Schizosaccharomyces pombe: one gene and its partners. The gene in region 3 interacts genetically with the main gene of each other region. Each region holds a gene or a part of one and is shown on either strand. Other genes may lie near its edges.

Region 1 (4,202 bases), 3.2 Mb from region 3:
AAGGAACTACGATAAAAAAAGGCGTAGGTAACATTGTCAAACGGAACACGAGATATTAACAAAAGAGGAACAATAGCACCACCTTTCCACAGTCTACAATATAATGGTGGTAGACGCGTCGCAACACAGAAAAGAAACGTATCTTTGGCAAAACAAAAAAAAAATTTTAAAGTCAGTTCCTTTCAATGAAGAGACTACCAATTCCAATTTTTTAACCTTTAGGATAAAAAAGCGACAATTCTAACAAACTTCGACAAACCATATCAAAATCCTAAATCACCAGCAAAAAATCCAAATTAAGAGTTGGACTGCCCTCACTGCCTCACCCACTTCACCTGTCATAAACACAAACAAAACTACTTACAAAACAAAATTGCCACGTTGACGTATAAGCTACAGCAATCAACACAGCAACACTGAATATCAAATTGCTAATAGTACACAAAAACAAGAATGAACAAAATTAATGCCGGCTAACCTTCACAACACACGCGCGCATAAACTGCCTATTACACTAAAACAAGCAATATGCAATATTTACTTCGTTGTATAGCGCCAAACAATAACAGATAGCACAAATGACTTAAGATTTATAGCGACTTGGCTTCAAAGGGACAAAAAAGTAGTGCCCTATAACAAATTAACGATTAATAACGATATCGAACTCTTCCGCGCGACTAGCAATTTCAAGAGTCGAACCGAGGAAAAATGTGGTTTGCAGAGGGAAGGAGGAAACATGTTGGTATAAGTCACCGTTGTCCTCAGGGTTAGGGTTTTGATGTGAATCAACATTGCGGCGGATGAACGATTAGATGATAATTTCAATGGAGGGCGACTGACCAATTATCTTTCTCCTACGTCACCACTGGCTAAAGCTATCAGGCGCAACGCAAATCGCGGGGTGTTATTGTAAACAAACAAAACCAAAAAATTCGGCCAAACTATGTGTTCTGCAAGTAAACAACTTAATAATAATACAATTAAAAGATAAATGATCAACAATAATTGCAGGTTAACTTCTTACAAAATTTCGATAAAAGTTTCAAACCCACAAAGCACATTTTCTGTTTTAAGTGTTTGTAATCACACACTCACTGCTACAACAACAGTAATTACAGCCTTTGTCAAGACAATAAACAGATAGAAATACGGAAAAGTGCAATTATCCAATGTAATCCTCCAATGTACTGACAAAAAGGTTCAATCCAGTTTAAGCAAGGTTAGAAATGTTTGTTTACACAATTGGTTTCAGCCGTGCGCTAGTAGTCTTAGTATGGCCAAACATACGAAAAAAGTTAGAATGCAAGATTCGAACTCGGGATTTCAAGAACTCCGAACGGGACAAAGAATCTTATGGAACGGAATGGAATCATTTCTCGGTCATTTGAGAAACCGTCCTACAATCTGATTGGTTAAAAGGACCACACCATGAAAAAACCCATGTGATTTTTGCGAATCAGAAATCGGTGAGAGATGGGAGTTGAACGCTTGTACATAATTACGTGACAGTGGCAAAATCTAGGCTCTCCCAAAATTTTTGATCACAGTTAATGTTCCGCAAATTTTTAGAACGTTGAGTCGCGCTATTCCATTTGAAAACCGTTTAACAAAACAAATTAAATGTTCTTTATTTCTAAGGAACGCAGTTTGAAGATATACGAACACTAAATTCGTAAGTTGTCATACTGCATAACGACAGTAAAACGTTATTAAAGGTTGAGTGGATGCTAAAACAGAAGGTGAGATGTAGATAAAGATCAAAAAGCAGTTAAACAATGCATTTGTTAAGGTTATAAACATAAGAATAGATTTTAAAAGATCCATAGTTTAAATAAAATGAAAGACCATTGCTTAAAATGAAAGAAGGACGTTTGTTATTGACTTTTTTATGACTTTACATGGTTTGACTCGTAGAAAATCCAAACTTTAGATAGAAAGCGATTCAAGCATTGACTTTGGCATATAATTCTCCTTGTTTCTGTATTAAGGAATTTAACCGATATACAGAAAAGTTTTGTATTCGTTGCCAATACTAAATTTAACTTGAAAATGTTCAATATTGAAAAATAGACAGCTTATTGAAGTGACCAACAGTAGCATCTAATAAATTCTTGACTTTTTCCGCTTGAACAAAATGTGCTCTTCTTTTGATTATTTTTAACAGCTCATTGATATTACCAGTTTGATTATAAAGTAAGTTTGAGGTTGGTTTTTGCTACGTTGTCATCACCAGAGGGTTCATCGTTCAATGTTCACCGCCATATGTTGTTCACTTTCTAAACTTACGCAGAAAGCACCAGAGTACAAGTACCTCACCACCAGTCAGTCACCTCTACTATTTGTGTACTGCACCGTGAAGAATCTTCGTAATTTATGCGACGAATCTAAAGTTACTTCCTATAATCATTAAGGCCTCACTTTTATTCTGAGATCGCTATCCGGTTGTATTCTTTTGTTTAAAGCATTATATCATCAACTCACCATGAATGTAAGTATTACTGAAATTAATTACCTTGCCCAATTTTTTTGTTATATTTTTATTATATAGCCATCTGTAAATTCATCTTATCATTGAATGCATATTTCATCGATTTTCGTCAGTATTGCTCAGAGACTTTATGAATTTGCTTTTCACATTCTTTGTCGTTATCCTTCTTTACAATATCAGCTAACTTATTCTTTTAGTCTGAAGACGCTGCATTAGATTTACTCCGACGATTAAACCCAAAAGATATCTCTAAAAACCTAGACACAATTCTTTCCGTCGCTCCCGATTTAGCTGATGTCCTTCTCTCGTCTGTTGATCAGCCTCTAAAAGTAAATACTTGTTCTGAGTCAGGTAATCAATATTTGTTATGTGACTTTAACAGGGATGGAGATTCGTACCGCTCACCATGGAGCAATAAATATGATCCTCCTTTGGAGGATGGTTTAGTTTCTACTGATCGAGTTCGTAAATTAGAAGTTTCTTTGAATGAAGCAATCCGTGTCTATCTTGATCTTTATTACGAGGGCGGTGTTAGTAGCGTTTATCTTTGGGACCAAGACGATAGTTACGCAGGCGCCGTTCTCATAAAAAAGGGTATTTTTATTTTCTGTCAATTTCATTATATAATTCTAACTTCATTTAGCTTCTACTTCTAACTCAAGCGGATGGGATTCTATTCACGTGTTTGAATGTCTGCCTACCACGGAAACCAACGTTTATGATTACCGACTTACAAGTACTATTATCCTTTTCCTTTCATCTGGCTCGGAGGAACAGTCTGCCTTGCCTTCCAAAGCTCTTAACCTTTCAGGTCATTTGACTCGCCAAACTTCTCAACGATTACCAGCGGCAGATGATGACACTGAGATCGCTAATGTTGGCAAATTGGTTGAGGAAATGGAAACTCGGATGCGCAACTTCCTCCAGGATGTCTACTTTGGAAAAACTAAAGATATCATCAACCAGACTCGTTCCATTCAACCCGTTTCCGATGCCCAACCAAATGATTCGGCTTTGCGTTCAGTTTTAAACGATCTTTCCATTTAGGATTGCTTTTTGTTTTCTTTCCGTGATCTTCTCATAGTATTCGTTCCATCTTCAACGAAAATAGTCATAGAAAGATTGACTAATATAAATAAATACACCGATAATCTAATTTTTTTACAACAGTTTTAAAAGAAATTATTGAATTTAATTGTTCAGTAAAAAAGTTTATATAAATAGCATTAAAAAATATACGTTAAGAGACTTTATAAGAAAGCTGTTAATCGAAGATCATGTAAAAAAGGTCATGAAATAAGCTGATATGGTTTAGACGAGGAACGTGATCGAAGAGAGGAGTAATTTATTGGAATTGGAAGACGCGCCAGGTATAATCGGTGAAAAAGGTCAAAATCCATACCCATCTTGTAATGCCAATCTGGCTTTTGAGAAGTTAGCGGCTTGGTACGTAGCTGAACTAACCAGAAACCAGTATACTGCATTAACTCAAAAAGCTGGGATTGGGTAATTCCACGGGGAAACGAAAAAATGCCACAGTTCCATGAAATCCAAACTATGTTATACATTATATACAACATTTGTTCCGATGAAAATGAAGTCATGGGTTTTTGATCAGGCGAAGGGAGTTGAAGCGGGCATGGTAAGGGAATACTGGTATACTGAGCTAAAAATATACAAATAAAGGATAAAGTTAAAGCACAATCAGGATTTA
Region 2 (5,033 bases), on a different chromosome or scaffold from region 3:
CTAAACCATATAAAAATCTTCGATATCATTCACGTGCTCTTCGCGATGTCTCATATCATCCTTCCCTTCCACTATTTTGCTCTGGCTCTGATGATGGTGATGTTCAAGTGTTCCACGGTCGTGTTTACAGTGACCTTCTGGCTAATCCCTTGATTGTTCCTCTTAAGATTTTGCGGAATCATAAAGTGGTTGATAATGTCGGTGTTTTATCCACATGCTGGCATCCAAAAGAAGCCTGGTTATTCAGTGCAGGTGCTGGTGGAGAAATTCGGATGTGGACTTGAAAAAGGTTTGAAACGTCTTAAATATTTTTGTTTTCTTCACTTGCTTTAAAATTTAGAAAAACTCTACTTTTAAAAATAATGTTTGGTAGTGTTTACTGCAAAAGATACTTTTTCAATGCTGTATTATAGTTTTGCTAACAAGTCGAAAAGATTGTTTTCGTACTTGATTTTGGATATTTAATAGGAATATAGGGGTTTTCGAAAGTTTAAAATGCATTTGTGCAAACTGAATATGTTTTTATTTTTTATTTTTTGGTAAGTTATCTAAAGTATTTAAGTATTACGTGATATCAAAAATCGTAACCGTTGAAATTCAATAGTGCTTTTTATATATCTATAGTTACCTAATCATTAATTGCTTAATTATAAAAATACAGCAAGTTTAAATGCAAGTAAACATGCTGGACTTTGTGGATTAAATGAAATGATTTAAAATCTCCAAGATTTCCAAGACAGCTTTCCTTATAAAGCTAAAATCGATGAAAGAAGTGAAAAAATAACAAAAAAAAAAGAAAAAGAAAGTGATGAGTAAGTCTGAGTTAATCCAAATTAAACTTGACTGATATCGCCTTGCAAGGACGGCAAATAGGGGTATTTTCTATCATAAAATAACCCTCATCTCCAAGTAGGGCATTACAAGCTCCGCAGGTCCAACATTGGCTATGATATTCACCATCAGACCCTTTTACACTGATCCCCAAAATGGGTTTACGGCATTTCTTGCACTTAACAGCATACTTATTATCATAACAAGTCTGACACCAGTATAGGTCGTCACGGTAAATACAGGGTATATTTACATTAAAAACTTCAGAGCAACCAGCGCAAAAATGATGATTTTCATGAAACCAATCATTGTTGATATGGACCGCTTGGTCTTCAATTGGGGTTTTGCAGTGCTTACAGCGAGGACTGAACTGTTCATGATAGTCTAGATGACAATAAAATTTTCCCTCGCGGTAATAAAATCCAACGTGCTCTAAGTTCTGGGAACAAGTATCGCATTTGAAGCATTGAGGGTGTAATTTCTTTCCTGAAGCACTAATTATTCTGCCAGCGCGTAAAGAACCGCCGCAACTATGACAGGATTTTTCAGAATTGCCTCTATAAAGAACTGGTTTTGTAGATGTATGAGAAGATACCATTGAAGGCTTAAGTGAATCTGATTGAAATAAATTATTTGAGGACAAGTTGCTAGGCAATTGTGAAGTGGGGGTGGGCAAAGGATATAAGCTATTAGCAGGAGCAGAATGAAAAGAATGCAAAGCGGGTCTACGATTGGAAAGTTTACTGGATTTCTGTAAAGGAAGAGTAGGAAGTTGTTTGGATGCGAAGGTTTTTTGTCTGTCTTCAATGCAATCATGATCAACAAGCGGCTGTAAACCGGTATGACAATCGTAAACATTTCGTACGTCTGGATAATTAACATGTGAATTCAATTCCTCCGGCGAACTAGGAAACTCATCGTCGTCACTGTATGCAAGAGATGGCAATTCAGGTAAAAGCTCCTTTTTTAAGCTATCGAAAGTAGAAGTAGAAGCAGAGGTTAGTAGTGTTTTTTCCGGCGACGAAACATTAGAACGAGAGAGCTCGTCATCAGGCAGATCAAAACGTACACGATTTTGTTTTATTGTTGGATTCCTCTTGGACAAAGGAGATTCAGGAGTCTTCAAACTTGGTTGCGGTAATGGTGTAGCTATTCGACCTCCAGTAAAGTTAAGTGCTCCATCAGATAACCGAGAACGAACTAAATTGTTTAGCGGGGAGCCATTAGTAGAGACCGGCGAAGAAGGAGCAGCACGAGGACCAGTCAATCGACGTTCAAATCTACAAAAACGAAGTTAGATACCTAATTGGGTAATAACAATAAGACAATAGATTACCTTGGTAATTCTGGAATTGGTGAATGCATTTGCTGATATGCTTCTCAACTATCAGGACACTAATCAACGGAAAGAATTCAGGATCGTTGACAACCTTAAGAAATCAGGATAGCCAAGCTCGCAGGGTATAAATCTAGCCGCAACACTTAAAAACAAGATAAAAAATAGGAAGAGAAGGATAAGGAAGGAAAAACAAAAATCAAGCTGGGATTAACTTATAGAAAATTGTTGCCAACGTAAGGATATATATCTCAAAGAGCGGAGTCCCCCAAAAAAACTAGCTGTATTAAAAAAATGCAATTGTAAGCAAGTAGTTATTATTTAGAAAGCAGTAATATTTGCTTTATCCAAAGTGTTTTAGCTAATAAGTGTTGGCTTTGTTTAAGTGTATATTCCAAAATATAAACAAACATTCGTTGTTATAGAAACCAGCCTCATAATAGGTAACATTGTACCTTTAACGAATACTTAGAGAGTACGTATTCAATGTTTGTATACCAGCAGAAAGTAAAAAAATGCGAATATATTAGTAATTAAAGTGAATTAAGCCATTCCTATGCAGAAAATGTTCCAAACGAAATCAATGTTATTTGTTGGACAATTTTATATGTTGCGATTTCATAATATGGTACAATATCTTTTTATAATTTATTTTTTTTATACTTTGGCAGTAGATTATTGTGGAGCGCGTTATTAATGCTTACTGTATTGTTACAGCTCTTTAAATGTCATTAACTACCCCATTATGCTTTGTCAGGCATACAGCATTTCGCTTATTGTTTCATAAATAGAAACCTAATTTTGGCTTTCAAGCTACAGATTGACCTAAGAAAATTCTTTACCAGTTGTAAGTATAATTGTATAAGAAAAAATATGTAGACCCGTGAGTCTGTTCAGTGTGTAGTTACTTATAAGCGTTGCAATGTGTCGCAAAATGATATTGTATATAAAATTACGATCACACTGTACCACACAAACGTCGTTAAAGGAAAAAACACTTTTTTGACTGTAGATTTGTTAGAAGCAAAAGTGTTTGAGAATAGTTTATGTGCGGAATTCTTTTCGCCTTAGCGGAAGACAGAGATAATCTTCTTGAAAGTCCATCTTTTTCAGCTTTACGAAAAAGGATTCGGGCTAGAGGACCTGATTTTTTTGGTAAGCATAAATTGAATAGCGGACCTTGGAATTTGCACTTTGAGTCAAGCGTTTTGCATTTACGTGGCCCTTCTGATCATTTAACGCCTCAACCTCATGTTGACAGTTTTGGAAACGTTTTGTGTTGGAATGGAGAAATTTGGCAAATAAACCATAGCGATCATCACAAATTTACGCTCAATCGTAATGAAAACGACGGTGCAAAACTTTTTGAACTTTTAAACAATAACCCGGGCGACATTGAAAAAATTTTGGGAAGTATTCAAGGACCTTTTGCTTTTGTTTACTACCAAGTTCGTACAAACACATTGTGGTGGGGAAGAGATCGCTTAGGAAGAAGATCCCTTTTGTATAGTTTACGAGATAGTAATTTCGTTCTCTCAAGTGTAGGAAATTCTAGTGATTTCCGAGAAGTTGAGCCTGGGTTTCATAGTGTGCAGGTGGACTTGATCCCAAAAATTAACTTCTCTAAATCATTAATGCAACTGGAAAAAACAAACCCTCTTCCTCCTGTGGATGAGTCCTTTCTCATGGGCTCAATCTCTTCAGACACTGTGGACACATTGCATACATATCTTATCAAAGCGCTTCAAGATAGAGTTTTAACAATCCCCAAACTGTGCTCTTCAAACCTTGACTGTAGTCATTATAGCCGAGTTTGCGTTCTTTACTCTGGGGGAGTGGATTGCGGTGTATTAGCACGGCTAATGCACGACATAGTTCCCAATAACGAGTCCATCGATTTAATTAATGTGGCTTTTGAAAACCCAAGATTTACAGAGACATACCGTGACAGAGAGACGGGACTTCTTCCTGACAATTTTGATGCATACGACGTATGTCCTGATAGACAAACTGGATTACAAGGCTGGCAGGAGCTTATTTCAGTTTGCCCTGCTCGAAAATGGAATTTTGTTGCTATAAACGTTCCTTATACAGAAGTATGTGAAGCACAGGAAATAGTCAAAACACTTATCTATCCGAACGATTCAGTTATGGATCTTTCTATTGGATTAGCTTTTTATTTTGCTTCACAAGGGCGTGGTGTACTTTTACAAAACGTGGATGATATCAAACTGAAACATCAATTACCTTCCTATACTATAAAAGCTAAAGTCCTCATCAGTGGCCTGGGGGCTGATGAGCAGCTCGGTGGTTATATGCGGCACCTACGAGCGTTTGAACGGAAAGGTATGGCCGGTCTTGAAGAAGAACTGCAATTGGACATTGATCGTATTCCACATCGTAACTTGGGCAGAGATGACAGGGTAATGTCTAATCAAGGGAAAGAGGTGCGTTATCCTTTTCTCGATGAGCGTCTGATGGCTTTGTTTAGCAAAATGAAAACTACTGATAAAATGCGTCTAGATTTAGTTGGAGGTGACAAACTAATTTTACGTGAATTAGGACGTCGATTAGGTTGTCCCTTAGCTAGTCAAGAAAAAAAGAGGGCTATTCAGTTTGGTTCTAAAGCAGCAAAGATGACTCCTGGAACCGGTAGAACATCAGGTCGTAAAAAGTTAGAAGTTTGTATTTAAAAATAATAATAATAATAATAAATTATACTTGAGTATTTCATAAAACTACAAATGTTAACTCATCTCCAAAAGGGAATCAATAGATGAACTAAGCCTTCCTTGTTGCGCATTTAACACAACTTCAATCACTTCACTGTCAAACGCTGGAAACATAGCTCTTAAAGCCGTAATTG
Region 3 (7,757 bases):
CACGAAACTTCGGAATGTCAGCGGGGTGGCCTTTGTAATTTTATGCATGCCAAAAAACCAAGTCCTCAGCTTTTACGCGATTTGGTACTAGCACAAAGAAAGTATTTGGCCTTAAATGCAGCAGAAGAAATGAAAAAGGAGCCCAATAGTGATTCCACGAATCGATGGGTCAGTGTAACTGCTGAACGCAAAAATTAAATAGCAACTTATGGAATGTATTTGTTTTGGATTCTGGTTTGCTTTTGTACGGTTTTACTTCGTTTATTATGATTAATCTCTGGCTATAGTTTGTTGTGATTTAGGTTATTTAAATAGATGTTGCATTCTTTTATTGTTTACTAATAAACTTGATCTTTGTACAACTGTACTCATAGACGTTTTAAATTTTGTGTCCAATGTGCCTATGGCTGATTACAAGCTAAAGGAGATCGATTAGAAACATATGAAACGATCAAACATTTCGCAAAACTTGCACAGCAATTCTTAAAAACGAAGGTGTTATTGGTAGAAGCTGTGTACGATATAAGAAAAAAAAAACAAAAAAAAATAAATAGAACCCGTATTTAAGCCAAAATTGTTCAGTTGTTGTATGTTACGAAAAAATAAGTTTCAAAAATTAAAAAAATTAAAACTGCTGAATATAACATTTATATGTCTTAATTACTTTTTTGGTTTTGACGGCGAGCACGGACAGCTTCAGCAAGATCGTCTAGCATTGGAGCAGTTTGTTCCCAGCTAACACAAGCATCAGTGATACTGACACCGTACTTGAGAGTATCCTTAACGCCAGGACGGATTGGAGCATCTTGACGACCTTCATTGATATGAGATTCAATCATAACACCAACAATGGAAGAGTCGCCATTTCTGATTTGTTCGGCGATGCTCTTGGAGACCTTTGGTTGGTTCAAATGATTCTTGCTTGAGTTGCCATGAGAGCAATCGATCATGATACGAGGAGGAAGGTTGGCCTTCTCAAGATCTTTGCGAACGGCGGCAACGTGCTCAGCATCATAGTTAGGACCCTTCTTACCACCACGCAAAATGATGAAGGTATCCTTGTTGCCCCTGGTCATGGTAATAGCGGCGAGACCTTGTTTAGTAACTCCTAGCATTGTGTGAGGATGGGCGGTAGCACCAATGGCATCAATCGCCACACCAACAGTACCATCAGTACCATTCTTGAAACCAACAGGGAAGGAAAGGGCAGAAGCCAATTCACGATGTAATTGAGACTCGGTAGTACGAGCACCGATAGCACCAAAACTGAGTAAGTCGGCGAAGAATTGGGGAGAAATGTTGTCCAACATCTCACTGGCCAAAGGAATGCCAAAATTGGTAACGTCGCAATACATTTGACGAGCCATCCTAATACCCTTGTTGATAGCAAAAGAACCATCCAAGTTAGGGTCGTTGACCAAACCCTTCCATCCGATAGTAGTACGGGGCTTCTCCAAATAACAACGCATGACAACGCACAAAGCATCCTGAAGCTCGTCAGCTTTGGGCTTCAGCAACTTAGCATAGTCCATGGCCAATTTAGGGTCATGAATGGAGCAAGGACCGACAACAACGATAATTCTGTCATCTTGTTTGTTGAGAATAGCTTGAATCTCCTTTCTGGAGTCAGTGATGACTTTGCGAGAAGTTTCAGAAACAGGAATCTCTTGTTGAACCAAAGCGGCAGGAACCAAAGGGTTGTAACCTAAGACACGGTTGTCATCAAGATGCTCTTGATCGTAAGTTTCACCGCTGGGTAAAAAAACCTAATTGAATAATGTTAGCAAATTGACATTAAAAAAAAAGACCAAACATGCTGGACATAGCAATCAACATAAAGCAATAAAAATTTCAAAAAAAAGAAACAAAAAAATTTAAAATTTCAATTGCCTAAAAATTCATCAGCAAAAACAAATTTGTTATCCGCATAGTAAAATCTACTATATAACTCAATAAGATAACTTTCAGTACTGTTTCTCCGACTGATGAAAATTTTTACTAGCAAAATTCTTTGGATGCCCAATTGGGGTTACTTACCGGAGACATGGCTTATTAAATAGAATTAATAAATTTAGGTCAAAGAGTGCTTCCTAAGTTGTTGAATGCCAAGTAAGTAAACACTATTAAAGGTCCTTTACTACGACGAAGGTTGGTTCTGTCTGAGTTCGAAGCAGCGCCAACGAAAAATATATGTAGTCCAGTAATAAGATGATCCAGTGATAATGGCTCTAAGTCATCGGAACTGCGAAACAAGTAGTAGGCAATTTCTGGACATCATCGCTTAAAAATTTGTTCAAATTTATAAGTCCTTTGTTTTGTATCAATTTCTAGATTTCACTTGCTATTTAATTACTTGAAAGTAAATTGAAGGTTGAGCGTAAAAACATAAAATAAAGCCTTTTTTCGGTTTCTTATTAATTCATAAATTAATGTTAAAAGGGATTGATATATAATATTTAATAATTACGTTTCCTACAATGTTTACTGTCATGTACCACTGGGATATGAGAATATATACATTGCTTATCAAAATACTTATTTCCAAGATTCGCTCAATTATATAAACCACGCATTAAAGCAACATATAAAAACATATTGATTCGTTTATTTTACTTTTACTCAATGCATATTTTGTGAGCCCGAAAATTTAGATATACCATCTGTGACTGCCTTTTTGGTACACAAACGCCGAAAATTAGAAGTCTGGTGGACAGCGTTGGCTTTCCGGTAGATTAGTCTTTTGAGGTTAACAAGTTAATGATATCTGATATTCTGATGTGATTATTGAATTTATGAAGTGCATCAGTACTGTATTTCTCGTGTTCCGGTGACTCTCGTATTTTGTATTGCACTAGAAATAGTGAAATCGCCAGCCATTTCATAATTTATCAAGTAGCTCGACATTAGTATGACTATTCATATTCTGTATACGAATGATGTTCTAAATTAAAATCTGGCAAAGTAAATGACAATTCTGTTCATATAAGCTGGTTTACATAGCTCTACGTTCTTTAGTAAATTACTAAACAGATCGCTATACAGTAAACATTATCATGGCAACGGTTGCTATGGGGCTTATAGGTGCGTGTACACAGATTACAGTCGACTTAGTACACTTACCTTCATCCTAACAATCCATTTAGAATAGTCAAACATGTCGACAGACGATTCACCTTATAAACAAGGTAATAACTACTTTTTGAAATCATTTCAAAATGTTTATTAACGAAAAGATAGCTTTTTCTTTATTTGACCGCCATGGAACTGGTCGCATCCCCAAAACGTCCATTGGTGATCTTTTAAGAGCGTGTGGACAAAATCCTACGCTGGCTGAGATTACTGAAATTGAATCTACTTTGCCCGCAGAAGGTATGATTTCTTGTTATGGGTTTGGAGAGTTATACTCCTTAGCCGTGCATTAAGTGACAATACTAATTGGTAGTCGATATGGAACAATTCCTTCAAGTGTTAAATCGTCCCAATGGGTTTGATATGCCTGGTGACCCAGAGGAATTCGTGAAGGGCTTCCAGGTGTTTGATAAAGATGCCACTGGCATGATTGGAGTGGGTGAATTGCGCTATGGTATGTATTTATAGAGATCTATCCTTTTTTCAGATTGATAAAAAAATGCGAAACTAATTGTATCAGTTTTAACTTCTTTGGGTGAAAAACTCAGCAACGAAGAAATGGACGAGTTATTAAAGGGTGTTCCCGTAAAAGATGGCATGGTTAATTATCACGGTATGCTCTATTACTACTCTGGGCTTCGGCAATCAACTACCTATACTTAATTATACTAACTGCTTCCTTTAGATTTCGTTCAAATGATTCTTGCCAATTAATTAAATCTACATAGTTTGCATAATTTACCCGGCATATGTTTCTCCTTTATTATTTACACCTTTATTTCAATTTTATGTCTTCAATAGTTTACTTTCGTTCAGCTTTTCCATCTGATACACTTGGGACTATGAAGCAATATGTTCCTGAATACAGATAACTGGACTTTTCGATACTCGCAGGAATTTCTACACATATCGTTTAGCATACGGAAATAGAGATATCCTTCTATATTCGTATATTTATGAATATGATTAACAACCATTTGTTATCTCATGCAAATGACCTTATATCTCAGCTGCTTAAATTGTTTGAATCTCTCCAGATGTAAATATAAGTTTTCATTCAAAATTACACTTTTCGTAAGTAATTACGGTTGATGCCAGCTTTCTTGATGCATTCGGCTCCAATTTTGCCATATCGTGTATATCTTGTATATCTAATTTACTGTGTGTCAATACGATGCTTTGAATTAGATGTAGGGCTTGACACTTGATGTCGAACGAATGGCCAGAGTCAAGACAGTCCATTCTTTTGCATTTTTACATAGTGAACACAAATCATAAAGGTAAAACTTTTGGCTCATTTAGACATGCAATCATATAACCCAACAATTAGTCATTTGTTTGCTCTAAGGCCTGAGTAGCAAAATATTGAACATCAGGGTCATTATCTTTTGTAAGTTGTTCGAGCAATGGGATGATTTGCTGTTCATATACGGTCGAGTCACCACCAGCTGCCAAAACAGGCTTAAGAACTTCAAACGCCTTGGCAACGTTAAAGCGAATATTAGGAATAGGGTCATTAACCAACTGTTCCAAAGTTGGAAGAATTTGTTTTTCAATTACTTCAGCATTCAATGCAGGTGCGATTTCCTAAAATACGTTAGAACTGGAAAAAAGCAAAAAAGAAAAACTTACACTGATCGCAAAAATAGTTGTCATTCGGTATAAATAATTTGGATGGCTTCGCATAGCCAAAAACTTTGGAATAATTGTCTCAGTTGCCCATTCCAACCCAAAAATTTCCGTAAGTTTTCGCAAATTCTTTATCGCAGCTTCACGAATAGAATATACATGGTCCTCTAACCATGACATACATAAATTGCCCATTTTCTCATTAAAAAATTCGACCCCAAGCTGCTGAGCAAGTAGTGGAATGTAGTCAATGATAGCAAGACGAACACGCCATTGTTTATCTTCAGCAAGTGTAACAATTGCAGGCAATAAAGATTGTGAAAGTAATTCGATACCAACGACTAAAGTGAGTTAGTATAACTGTAGCAATAGCTATATTTTGAATTTGCAATTTACCTTTGTTTACAACTTCCAATTTCGAAATAATGTTAAGACGAACTTCAGGGTTTTCATCTTTAAGTAATTCCAAAAACATTGGTAAAAGATACTCTGTAGTCCTAAATATAACGATTAGTAAAATGAGGTTTTTAAAAGAAAAGTTATTTTTAGCAGACATACTTTTCCTTTCCTAATTGTGGGGCGAGAGCACCTATGTTCATCCCTAAAGCAGCACGGACATGTTGAGCGGGATCATTAATTAACTCTTGAATAACTGGAATAATCTCTTCAAGAACAATTCGCTTATCCAACAATTCGCAAAATCCTGGTATTTGAGTAGCAATAGCACGGCGGACTTCCTGCTCGGTATCCTTCATGAGCAGTACGAATGGTTTAATAAGTTCATCTTTAATAAGAGATGGTCCAACTACTTTAGCAAGTTTTACAAAATTAGCAGCAACCATATAACGTGTTCTCCAGCTGCTATCCGAAACAAAAGACCTTAATGGTTGAAGCAAATAGTGACGAATTTCCGAGTCAGATTTTAATACCTCCGCCAAAGAAACCATAATGTCGAAAGAAAGGAGCCGAACTGAGTCTTGGTCATCATTAGAAAGGGAGTTGAACAATGGAATGAATTCGTCAATAGCCTCCTGTTTAGTTACCAAAAAAACAAACTTGGCACAGTTCGTTGCTGCAGGACGACGGACCATGGGAGCTTCGTCGTGACATAGATGACTAAAACTTTGACGAAGAGAGACTTTGACAGCAGGATTTTCTGACTGAGAATATGCCGCGCAGTAAAGCCCAGCAGAGGACGCACGAGAGGTAAACCACTCAGCGGTTGAAAGACGTTGAACCAATGGAACAAAATATTGCTCTAATTGTTCTTGGGATAGGCAAATACATACTTTATTGAGAGAGTCAACGGCTTTATCGCGGACTACCGTTTCTTCAGTTGCAGCAAGATTTTCAAGGGGAGACAAAAGGACATGCGCATACTCAGGGCCTCCAACATAATCTACAAAATTTCCTAACTGGTCGGCGAGAGCTGATAGGACTTCGTCCTCATCGTCAATCGATTCTGTATTCAAGGAATGTTAGCCGACAAACATACATCGTTTATTAAAAAATATAAAGAATTTTAAAAATTTAAACCTATAGTTCCATAATTTTATTATTGAATGCATACCATCTAAAAAGGGAATCAACTCATCCCTTGTACGTTCAGGACCTAAAGCGAGAGCAATTGTCGATAACCGTTCCAAAGCATTGAGCCTATAAGTAATTTCATCATGCTTTAACAATAGTCAGAGTTGAACATATCAGACGTAAAACAATTTGTTACCAACCTTTAACTCATCAATCAAAACAGCAATCGGATACAAATCGTTCACTTGCTATAAATAGTCGTGGTTAATAAATTGTAAAAGAGACATTTTGTAACACACATTCTCTGTTTGCATTTTATATAATAGAACAACTCGTTCTTAGCAAACAAGCAAATAAAGTGGGTAGGAAGTTTTAAACTTTTCGAGGTGAAGAAGGAGTGTGTGTTACAGCGGACGCTACCAAATTGAAACAGTTTTCCAAGCAAGTATCTCAAAGGTTTTCCTTAACATGAATCATTTTGAATAATTCTAAAAAACTATTTTGTGTTTATAATATACTCTGCTTTTCAGAGTTTTGACTGAACATAAATTCCACTTAAATGTTTACATACTGAATTGTCTAGCATCACGAATTCTTTTTATGTCTTCTCTCTTTATTCCTGACCTAATTTAATCTTTGTTTTTGAGAAGTATTGTTTAAGGGATATGGTTTGGAATCACATTTCTACCAATGCTAAAGCTTTTATATGACATCAAACGATTTTGCATGAGTATGTTAATTGATTATTTTTTTGGAAATTTGTATGATAATAAAGGATTCAATTGCCATATTGATGTATCGCAACTGGCTGAATGGTATATTACACAGTCATATTTATTTCAAACTATGAAATTACCCAAAAAACAAAACATAATTAAGTGATTATAGCCATTAAAAAGCTTTTTCCAAACTTCGCATGTTTCAAACCGAAAACTTTCGCTATATTTAATGCAAGAAGATAATTCGGATTTATTAATATTGGAGCTATTGTCGAAATGTTAAGCAAAACTGCTATACACACTTAGTGAGAAAAATTTGATCATTTTTCATTTGTTTACGATACCTTACATAACTGGGGTTTCATTATATTGCAAGTTTATTTCGTCTACCTCAGGATGAATGTGTTGGATTCTCAAATTGAGGTCCTTCAGTTTGGTTCAACAGTTTTTTTTCATTAATACTTCGTTTTTAAGATGGTCGTATAATTAATTATTGACTGCCGCAATCGATTCGTTTGTTTTAATGTTTAACAAAATATTGTTACTTCAAATTTTCTAACAAGTACCTCGATTGTGTAATATAACTACCAAACTAAAATATTTAATACAATGTGCTAGTTATGTTTGGTGACTATAGCAATATCACTTAAAATGGGTGATATATCTTCATAACGAAGTTTGGTGTTTTCAGAGATGACCGATCAGTTTAGGTAGTGTTTACAATAAATTACAGGTATTTTTTTTTTCTTC

Evidence for each region. Genes that interact genetically often act in the same process or in processes that back each other up.
Region 1: mutations in cdc4 (region 3) and acp2 are lethal when combined (synthetic lethality), as found in Schizosaccharomyces pombe (2 studies listed by BioGRID, with this or other methods).
Region 2: mutations in cdc4 (region 3) and pxl1 are lethal when combined (synthetic lethality), as found in Schizosaccharomyces pombe (2 studies listed by BioGRID).

What each region holds. Positions count from the first base shown.
Region 1 is NC_003424.3:2,103,530-2,107,731, reverse strand, and holds acp2 (F-actin-capping protein beta subunit acp2), read left to right. Parts: upstream 1-2,298; 5' UTR 2,299-2,482; coding exon 2,483-2,488; exon of another isoform or gene 2,489-2,685; coding exon 2,686-3,082; intron 3,083-3,131; coding exon 3,132-3,535; 3' UTR 3,536-3,702; downstream 3,703-4,202. Other genes in the region: protein Atg14, read right to left, coding at 3,778-4,202. UniProt on the Schizosaccharomyces pombe protein: F-actin-capping proteins bind in a Ca(2+)-independent manner to the fast growing ends of actin filaments (barbed end) thereby blocking the exchange of subunits at these ends.
Region 2 is NC_003423.3:2,709,675-2,714,707, reverse strand, and holds pxl1 (paxillin-like protein Pxl1), read right to left. Parts: upstream 2,541-5,033; 5' UTR 2,197-2,540; coding exon 2,168-2,196; intron 2,112-2,167; coding exon 824-2,111; 3' UTR 501-823; downstream 1-500. Other genes in the region: erb1 (WD repeat/BOP1NT protein), read left to right, coding at 1-284; asn2 (asparagine synthase), read left to right, coding at 3,214-4,860.
Region 3 is NC_003424.3:5,326,064-5,333,820, forward strand, and holds cdc4 (myosin II light chain cdc4), read left to right. Parts: upstream 1-3,124; 5' UTR 3,125-3,154; coding exon 3,155-3,185; intron 3,186-3,237; coding exon 3,238-3,369; intron 3,370-3,442; coding exon 3,443-3,583; intron 3,584-3,649; coding exon 3,650-3,742; intron 3,743-3,814; coding exon 3,815-3,843; 3' UTR 3,844-4,455; coding exon of another isoform or gene 4,456-4,716; 3' UTR 4,717-4,761; downstream 4,762-7,757. Other genes in the region: U2 auxiliary factor small subunit Uaf2, read left to right, coding at 1-198; SPOM_SPAP8A3.07C (phospho-2-dehydro-3-deoxyheptonate aldolase), read right to left, coding at 657-1,766, 2,038-2,046; serine/threonine protein phosphatase PP2A scaffold subunit Paa1, read right to left, coding at 4,456-4,716, 4,762-5,099, 5,155-5,255, 5,317-6,220, 6,329-6,434, 6,489-6,536, 6,588-6,602. UniProt on the Schizosaccharomyces pombe protein: Involved in cytokinesis. Required for the formation and function of the contractile ring.